2 linked regions of the Canis lupus familiaris genome follow. The protein of the gene in region 1 interacts with the protein of each later gene in a pairwise test. Links are inferred from orthologs where the notes say so. Each region holds a gene or a part of one and is shown on either strand. Other genes may lie near its edges. The genes, in order: TRIB3 and ATF5.

What was found.
Region 2: the proteins of TRIB3 (region 1) and ATF5 interact in a two-hybrid assay, tested with the Homo sapiens proteins (2 studies listed by BioGRID and IntAct). The link is inferred for Canis lupus familiaris from reciprocal best matches to the Homo sapiens genes TRIB3 and ATF5.

What each region holds. Positions count from the first base shown.
Region 1 is NC_049245.1:20,963,418-20,967,320, reverse strand, and holds the start of TRIB3 (tribbles homolog 3), read left to right. Parts: upstream 1-1,221; 5' UTR 1,222-1,281; intron 1,282-1,327; exon of another isoform or gene 1,328-1,470; intron 1,471-3,903. UniProt on the Homo sapiens protein: Inactive protein kinase which acts as a regulator of the integrated stress response (ISR), a process for adaptation to various stress. Inhibits the transcriptional activity of DDIT3/CHOP and is involved in DDIT3/CHOP-dependent cell death during ER stress.
Region 2 is NC_049222.1:107,309,613-107,313,515, forward strand, and holds the start of ATF5 (cyclic AMP-dependent transcription factor ATF-5), read right to left. Parts: upstream 3,032-3,903; 5' UTR 2,738-3,031; exon of another isoform or gene 2,681-2,737; intron 2,023-2,680; exon of another isoform or gene 1,976-2,022; intron 602-1,975; 5' UTR 483-601; coding exon 305-482; intron 1-304.

The sequences.
Region 1 (3,903 bases):
CACAGCATGAACAAAGTTATGAATGTATGAGCAAACCCGGTACAGTGCTGGCTTCATAGAGAAGCTCAAAAAATAACCAACTCCACCTTTCTTTGTCCCTTACTGCTGTGGGATTTTCCACTTGACTCTAGGTGTCCTGGCATAGAAAATGATTTCATTAGTCCCTCCCTGGCAGGGGAGTCTCCAGGGTTAAATGAGATCCCAGAACACCCTGGTGCACCCTGAAGGTCCTTAGACACAGGTGAGCTGATCCCTGGGGTTCTGGAACCTGAGAAACAAAGGTAACTCCACCCACCATTCATCCAGTCTCTGCCTGGAGGAGTATTTTTTTACACTGGTACATTCAGACATCAAGACCTAAAAGGGATTTCCAAGAAAGGTGCTGGACTCTGGGGCTGCACAAGGATTTGGCTTGCCAAACAGTAAGTGGCCCCAGCGCCTCCTTGGCTTAGGGTGCAAATCCTGTTATGGGTGCCTTCCCCTCTGAGCCTCATTCTATTCATTGAGCACTTAGGACGTGCCTACCACATAGTTCTAAGCATTTTCTCCCAGTGAAAACCTTATGAAGTGAATACTCCTATAAACCCATTTTACAGAGGAGGAACTTCAGCTCCAACAGGGTTTGAAGTAGCTTTCCTGAGGTTGCACAGTGCATCTGTGGAAAGCTAGGGGTGCACTCTTAGGCAGGCTGGTTCTAGGGCACTGGCTCTCTAGGGCACTGGCTCTTTACCATGAGGCTGCACCGCCTCTCTCCAAAGAACCCTGTGAGGCCTGCCCCAGCTCAGGTCTTCTCCCCAAGGGACCACACTAGTTCTTCTGAGTCCTGAGTCAGCTCCTAAGTCTGCAGTCTTTGCAAAGCTCCAGGGCTGCTTTCCCAGCGCTGGGCCTCACTGTAGGATGGGGGGAGCAGAGCTTTCTGCCTGCCCAGGGTCCTCCTAAAGGTTAATCAAGCAATGGTGGGAAGGTTCTTTATAAACAGGAAAGCACCCGGGAACTGTCACAGTTTGCTCTTTTTCTCCTCTGCATCCTGAGATGGAAGGATGTTCTCCCTCATTTCACGTACGGGTAAACTGAGGCTCAGAAAAGCTCTTTCCAAAGCGATAGGGAGAGGCAGCGGGGGTGGTCTGCGCGGGGCCGGTGGGGGAGGAGGCGGAGCCCAGGCACCCCTGGAGGCCGGGTGAGGCGAGAGGGGCGGGGCGGGGCGGGGCGCGCGGGGGCGGGGCTCCCGGGGATGGTGCAATCCCGGGCCTGAGCGCATCAGGCGGCGGCCGATTAGCCCAGGTTTGCATCACCCGGGCCGGGGCCGGGGCCGTCGCGGGCGCCGGGAGACACTGGCAGCGGAAGCGCGGGCGGCTCCGCACGTGTCCGGCTGCCGGGGGCCGGGGGCCCGAGCTCAGTCGCGTCGCAGCGGGCCCCCCGCCACGTGGGAGAGCCCGGGCGGCCCCGGACCCCGCCGCACGCCCGGTAGAGGTACCCAGGGGGCCCGAGAGGGGCCGGGAGCGGGCGGGAGGGGCGCACCCGCGAGGGTGGCGGCGGCGGTCTCCCGGGGGCTGAGGGTGGCGGGGCGGAGACGTGGGAGTGTCGCCCCGAAAGGCGAGTGTGGGGCGGGGGAAGGCGTGTGTGAGGGGCCCGTGGGCGTCGCTGGGGACTCTGCAGGGTCTGTGTCACTGTAGAGTGAGCCTGCGGGGTTGGGGGGATGTGTCCCGGCGGACGGTGCGGGCGGTGGGGAGGGCTGCGCACCTGGTGGCAGGTGTCCGCTGAGCGGGGGACACGCTGGGGCCGCGCTGGGGTGTCCTGGGGTGGGTGCAGGGCGAGTGGAGCGAGGCCGCCGCGCGCGGGTGCGGGACCCCGGAGCGCACGGAGCGTCGGCAGCAGGTGCGCACCTGGCGCTGCGGCCGCGGGTTGCGGGTTGTACTGCGCGCGTGTGCGGTTCGCGCCTGCGGACCCCGGGTGTGCGGGGCTGGGGCCCAGGTCCGCCCCTTCTCGCAGCCCCGGGGCCGGCCTCCCTCCGTAGCCTCTCCGCCTCTCGCCTCTCGCCGCTCCGTTTCCGCTGAATCCTCGGCCTCAGGACACCCGCTGCCCGCCGCTTCCGCTCCCACGGGAGGAGCCGGGCTGGGGAGGGCGGGGCGAGGGCCCGTGGGGGGATGGGGCGCGTGTCAGACCTTGCCTGTGACCTTACTGCTGTCCGCCGTGCGCGGCGAGTGTGTGTGTATGCCTGCACGCTTGTCCACAGAGGACGAGATGCGTGTCCTTAACGATGTGCATGCTCCCGTCTGCCCTTAATGTGGTGTCTCAGCTGGTTGGCTTGGACAACCTGTGCGTTTGAGAGGTGTGTGTACACCTGTCTGCTCTGGGTTCTGTGAGTGTGTGCTTGGTATGACCTGCCCTGGTTCCCCTAGAGGTGTCAGGGAACAGCAAGAGGTAGATATTGGGGGCTGCTCCATCCTACAGTGGAGATTCTAGTCCTGCAGTGTGGTCTGCAAAGTCCCTTGCTCAGTTACAGTAACTCCACCTGCCCCATGGAGCTTATCCCAAGCCCCACCCACCTCTGAGGCATGGATATGGCCAAGCAGCCTGGTGTGCTGATGTGGCCACAGGAGAGCCGCCCCAGCCACAGTCCGAAGGAGAGCACTGAAGGACCTCCGGCTATGAATAGTAGTAGCAATGGGCTGACAGTGGTGATCATTTACTGACACCCACCCTGCAACAGGGTCACTAAATTATTTGTGCTTTTATTTCATCATCGCAAAAAATCATATGGACTTTGCATCCTGCTCCCTCTTTACAGATGAGGGCACTGAGGCTGGGGAAGACTGCAGGACTTGCCCAGAGCTACCCAGCTGGGAAAAGTCTGAGCCAGGATTAGGAATATCTGACTACAAGAATATCTGACTACAGCCACCTGCTGTTTCATTCTTACCACATTGGGATTATGGCCTTTCACTCAATGTGGAGTATCCTTCCCAAGGCATCCCATGCTTTTGGGATTTTGGGAGTACGTGGCCCTCAGTTTGAGAATGGTCTCTGAGAGATGTTTTCTGCCCCCGACCTTTGGGAAAGTCTTTAACTGGGCTGAAGTCTATATCCTGCTAATGTCTTATACCTGGGCTCCTTGTCCCTCATCTGGATCCTGAATGGGTAGGCAGATGGGTCCTAGAGAGAACTTCTCTGCCCTGACTGCCATTGCAGTCTCCTCCATCCACCGCATACACAGTTACACAGCTGCCCTGCTGATGGCTTCCGCCGTAGTTGAATGAATTGGGGCCTTTGAGAGGCCTCCCCCTGCTTGCCTTACTTCTTACCTGATGGTGAAACCTAGCTGTCTATGGACAACTCTGCACATTGACCTGTGATTCTGATCACTCTTGGGCCATCAGGCAATAGTAAAATTCACATTTGAAAAAAAAAAATACACTCTTTTTTGAAATACTCAGCAATAAATTAATGCAGAATCTTTATTTGAAACTACTGAAACTGAAAATTCCCTTGCCTCCCTACCAAATCCTTTCCTCTGTTGGAGTCCTCCCAGAAGGCCAGGAGCTACTGTGGCCAGTTTAGTCTGGGTCATTCCAGAATTTGTCCTGTACATTTACATATCTACATACATGCAAATATGAAGATTTTTTTTTTTAATGCTGGTGGGTTTTTTTTTTTACAAGAATAAGATCATCTCCAGGTATATTGTTTAGCAGTTTGCTTTGTTCTTTGGACAATATATTCATTCTAGAGCTTACATTTATATATACATTCAGTACATATGTCATTCATTCATCATCCCTCTCTCCCTCCCTCCCAGTCACAGGTCCTAGCTCCTTGCACTAGGAGCAAGTGTCCTTGTGACACTTTTTTTTTTTTTTTTTAAGATTTTATTTATTCATTAGAAACAGAGAGAGGAAAAGAGAG
Region 2 (3,903 bases), on another chromosome or scaffold:
AATGTTACCTATGTGTTTCCTGGCTACCGACTCTAAATTAGGACTTTGTTTTCATTTTTTAGTTAGCTACAAAGTGTTTTCCACTTATCCCAATACATCATCACCTAATTTTCTTTTGTCAGCCTCCCCACTTCAGTGTGAGTTCCAAGAGGGCTGGGGTTATGTTGATCTTGTCTCCGCTATATTCCCTAGCCCCTAAAAGCCACCACTGGAGCATTACAGCTATTTATTGAGTGAATCAATGAATTCTTCTCCCCTGATCCATGCCCAGCTCACCCCACCTCCATTCTCTACCTGCCCTTACCTGCCAGGGGCTCTCCTCCCCCTGGGAGCCCGCCCTCCAGGGCTCCCCCAAGGATTTCATAGGGGCCCAGGGGGGCAGGAGCCAGGGGGAGTTTCCCATAGTCTACGAGCCAGCCCAGCCCGCTAGCTGGGAGCAGGGTCTTGTCCAGCTCCAGCCCCAGGGTCGCCAGGAGTGACATGGCTGCAGCACAGGCTCTGGGCAGGTGTGGCAATGAAGAAGGCTGAACCAACAGCTGGAAGGAGGCTCTGGAGGTTGCTCAGCTGGGCAAAGACAGGCACCAAGGCGAAAGTGGAAGACCTACAAGTGAGACAGAATAGGTGATGTCAGAGGCCATCCTCATCCACAGCCAAAGTCACAGAGAAACCAAGCCACAGCTCCATGTCCCCAAGGTCCTTCCTACCTTCCCCTTCCAATTGGGTTTGAGACTGCACCTTGCCCTATCAGAATTCTAAATCTATGCTTTCTTTCCCCCAATTTCTTTTTTTTTTTTAAATTTTATTTATTTATTTGTGATAGTCACAGAGAGAGAGAGAGAGAGAGAGAGAGAGAGAGAGAGGCAGAGACACAGGCAGAGGGAGAAGCAGGCTCCATGCACCAGGAGCCCGACGTGGGACTCGATCCCGGGTCTCCAGGATCGCGCCCTGGGCCAAAGGCAGGCGCCAAACCGCTGCGCCACCCAGGGATCCCCTGGGCCCCACTTCTCTTCTCTTCTCTTCTCTTCTCTTTTCTTTTCTTTTCTTTCTTTCTCTCTCTCTTTTCTCTTTTCTTTCTTTTCTTTCTTTCTTTTTTTTTAAATCCATGAGATACACAGAGCCAGGCAGAGACATAGGCAGAGGGAGAAGCAGGCTCCCCCTGGAGAGCCCAATGCAGAACTTGTCCCAGGACTCTGGGATCACACCACCTGAGCCAAAGGCAGATACTTCTCCACTGAGCCACCCAGGTGCCCCTCTTTGGGCCCCACTTACTTTTCTTTAGAATTCCCAAGCCCTGTTCCTTCCTATACAAAAACCTAATGGTCTCCCAGGGGAATTTCCTTAAGCCCTTCCCTCCCACCTCACAAAATTACACTTCATTAAAAAAAAAAAAAATCAGGGCAGCCCGGGTGGCTCAGCGGTTTAGCGCCGCCTTCAGCCCAGGGCCTGATCCTGGAGACTCGGGATCAAGTCCCACGTCGGGCTCCCTGCATGGGGCCTGCTTCTCCTTCTGCCTGTGTCTCTGCCTCTCTCTCTCTCCTCTCTGTGTATTCTTATGAATAAATAAATAAAATCTTTTAAAAAAAATTTCAATCCCAGGAGAATTTTCTTCCAGCCACACCCCTTCCTCTAAAGTATTTCCTTTAGGCTCCATCCCATCTAAACACTCGGCTCAAAAATCAGCTCCCAGGGATCCCTGGGTGGCGCAGCGGTTTAGCGCCTGCCTTTGGCCCAGGGCGCGATCCTGGAGACCCGGGATCGAATCCCACGTCGGGCTCCTGGTGCATGGAGCCTGCTTCTCCCTCTGCCTGTGTTTCTGCCTCTCTCTGTGTGACTATCATAAATAAAAATTAAAAAAAAAAAAATCAGCTCCCAGGGGAATTCCCCCAGCCCTGCCCCTCCAAACCGTGGTCTACTAAGTCCCACGGCTTCTTTTTAGCTTCGCGGTGACCGCCCCAGTCCCTTCCCGTCCAATTACCTTAGCCCCCCACTTCATTCCCGGGGATACCCCAGAGGCCCCGCCTTCTCTCCGTTGAAACCCCACCCCAGGTAAATTTGCTTAACCACGCCCCTTCTCACGATAGACCCCCGCCCACCCGTCGCAGCCGCTGATCCTAGCTCCACCCCCCTCCTTACAGGTGGCCTCTAAGCCTCGCCTTCCGCCCTGTCAATCTGAGTCAGCCCCACCCAACCCCGCCCCAGCAGGTGCCCGAATGAAACATAAATTGTGTTGTGCGCATGAGCAAGGTGGAGCTCGGAGACGGGAGCCGGCCGGCGGAGCCACACGCCTCTCTCGCAGGGCTAAAGCGCATGCTCTGCCACTGATCCAATTGTTCTCTCAGGCCTGCGGGGTTGGGGAGTCAGTGCGCATGTGCAGCTGCTTACTGCCCGCCCTTCACTCAAAAAATACGGAGTCTGGTGGGCTTGTGCACGTGAGCAACCGCTCGCGGACAGACTCATTCGGGGAGCGGGGGGCGACCCCCGCTCGGGGCTAGTGCGCAGGCGCACTGCGTGCAGGCCATCTTTAAACTCCAGCATTCTAGGGAAGAACGTACCCTTCCCCCACTGGACCGAATGCGCATGCTCGGCCGCGTGCCAACGACGCGTTTCCCTCTTCTGCGCCTGCGCGACCGTGATTCCTCACTCTCGTCTCCCCACCCCCCAGGCCTGGTCGTGAAGGCCGCGAGCTTCGAAAGGGCGGGAAAGGCGGTTGGAGAGGGAGGGGCGAGCGGTTACTCACTCCATGGCTACGGAAAGGAGAGGCGGCGGCAGCCTCAGCTGAAGAAAAGAAGGCGGTAGAGAAGAGCGCAAGCGCGGTGAGCGCGGAAACGGGCCGGGACACGGAGGGGTCGCGGCTACAGAGCCATAGCCGGGGTTGGGCGGGCGGAGATGGCGTCTCGGTAGCCTGAGAGGAGATTGTGATCTGTGGATGGGGAATGAGGCGGCCCCGGGGAGTGGGGACAGATATACAGGGGATGGCGCAGCACGGCCTCCCCGGATCCATCCGCGCCCCGCCCCGCCAGGCCCCAACCGGGAGGCGGGCCTGGCCTCTCCTCTCGGGAATCCTGGAATCCACTCCCCTCCTCCTCCCGACGCGGAGTTAGGCCTTTTCCTTCCTCTGACCCGGGGACCAGCTCCGTCTTCCTACCCCAGGGGTTCCGGCCCCCGTCCTCCTTCCAACTCTGGGGTCCTGTTCTCTGTCTCTCTGACTCAGGTCCCCTCCCCCCCAATTCTAGGGATTCGATCCCTCGCCTTCTCTGAGACCTGCCCTAGTTCACTTTTGGTTTCTTTTGCCCTAGTTCTCGAATTTCCGGCCAGCCACATGCTGGACTCCTATCCCCAAACTGCCGCCCCACGCTAAGAACCCTTTTTGTGGGTTAGACTCTTGTCTGAGTCACAATGAGACCGCGCGCGCCGTTCAAATCTCAGACCTGCGATGGTGGCCAAATAATCAAGTTCTCTAGTCTCGTAGATCGAGAACTGCCTGTAAAATGAAGAAAATAATCAACTCTGCCTGATGAGAATCAAGTCGATGCCTGTGAAACCCAGAGCCCGGCTCTTAATTGCCTATTTAATGTATCTTATTTTTAATAGGAACTCTGGGGTTGAGTCTCAACCATACCTCCTGCCCTGGCAAGATCCCCAGACATTTGACCATACAATAGCTGCTAGTAGGTCATTCTTGTGTCTTCTTCACTTCTTCAAGGTGTCAGTAATTGCCAGACATCCCCACCTTTCCCTGTTCCAGATGATGGACGCTCACCCGCAACACCAGCACAGTTGCAGAGAAGCAGGCATCATCACCCTGACTGTAGCTTTTCTCCATCCTCTGCCCACCTCCCATCAGCCCTTATCCTTAGCCCTCCTTTCAGGCCAGTTGGTTCTGCTTCAGCTGCCCCCCACTGG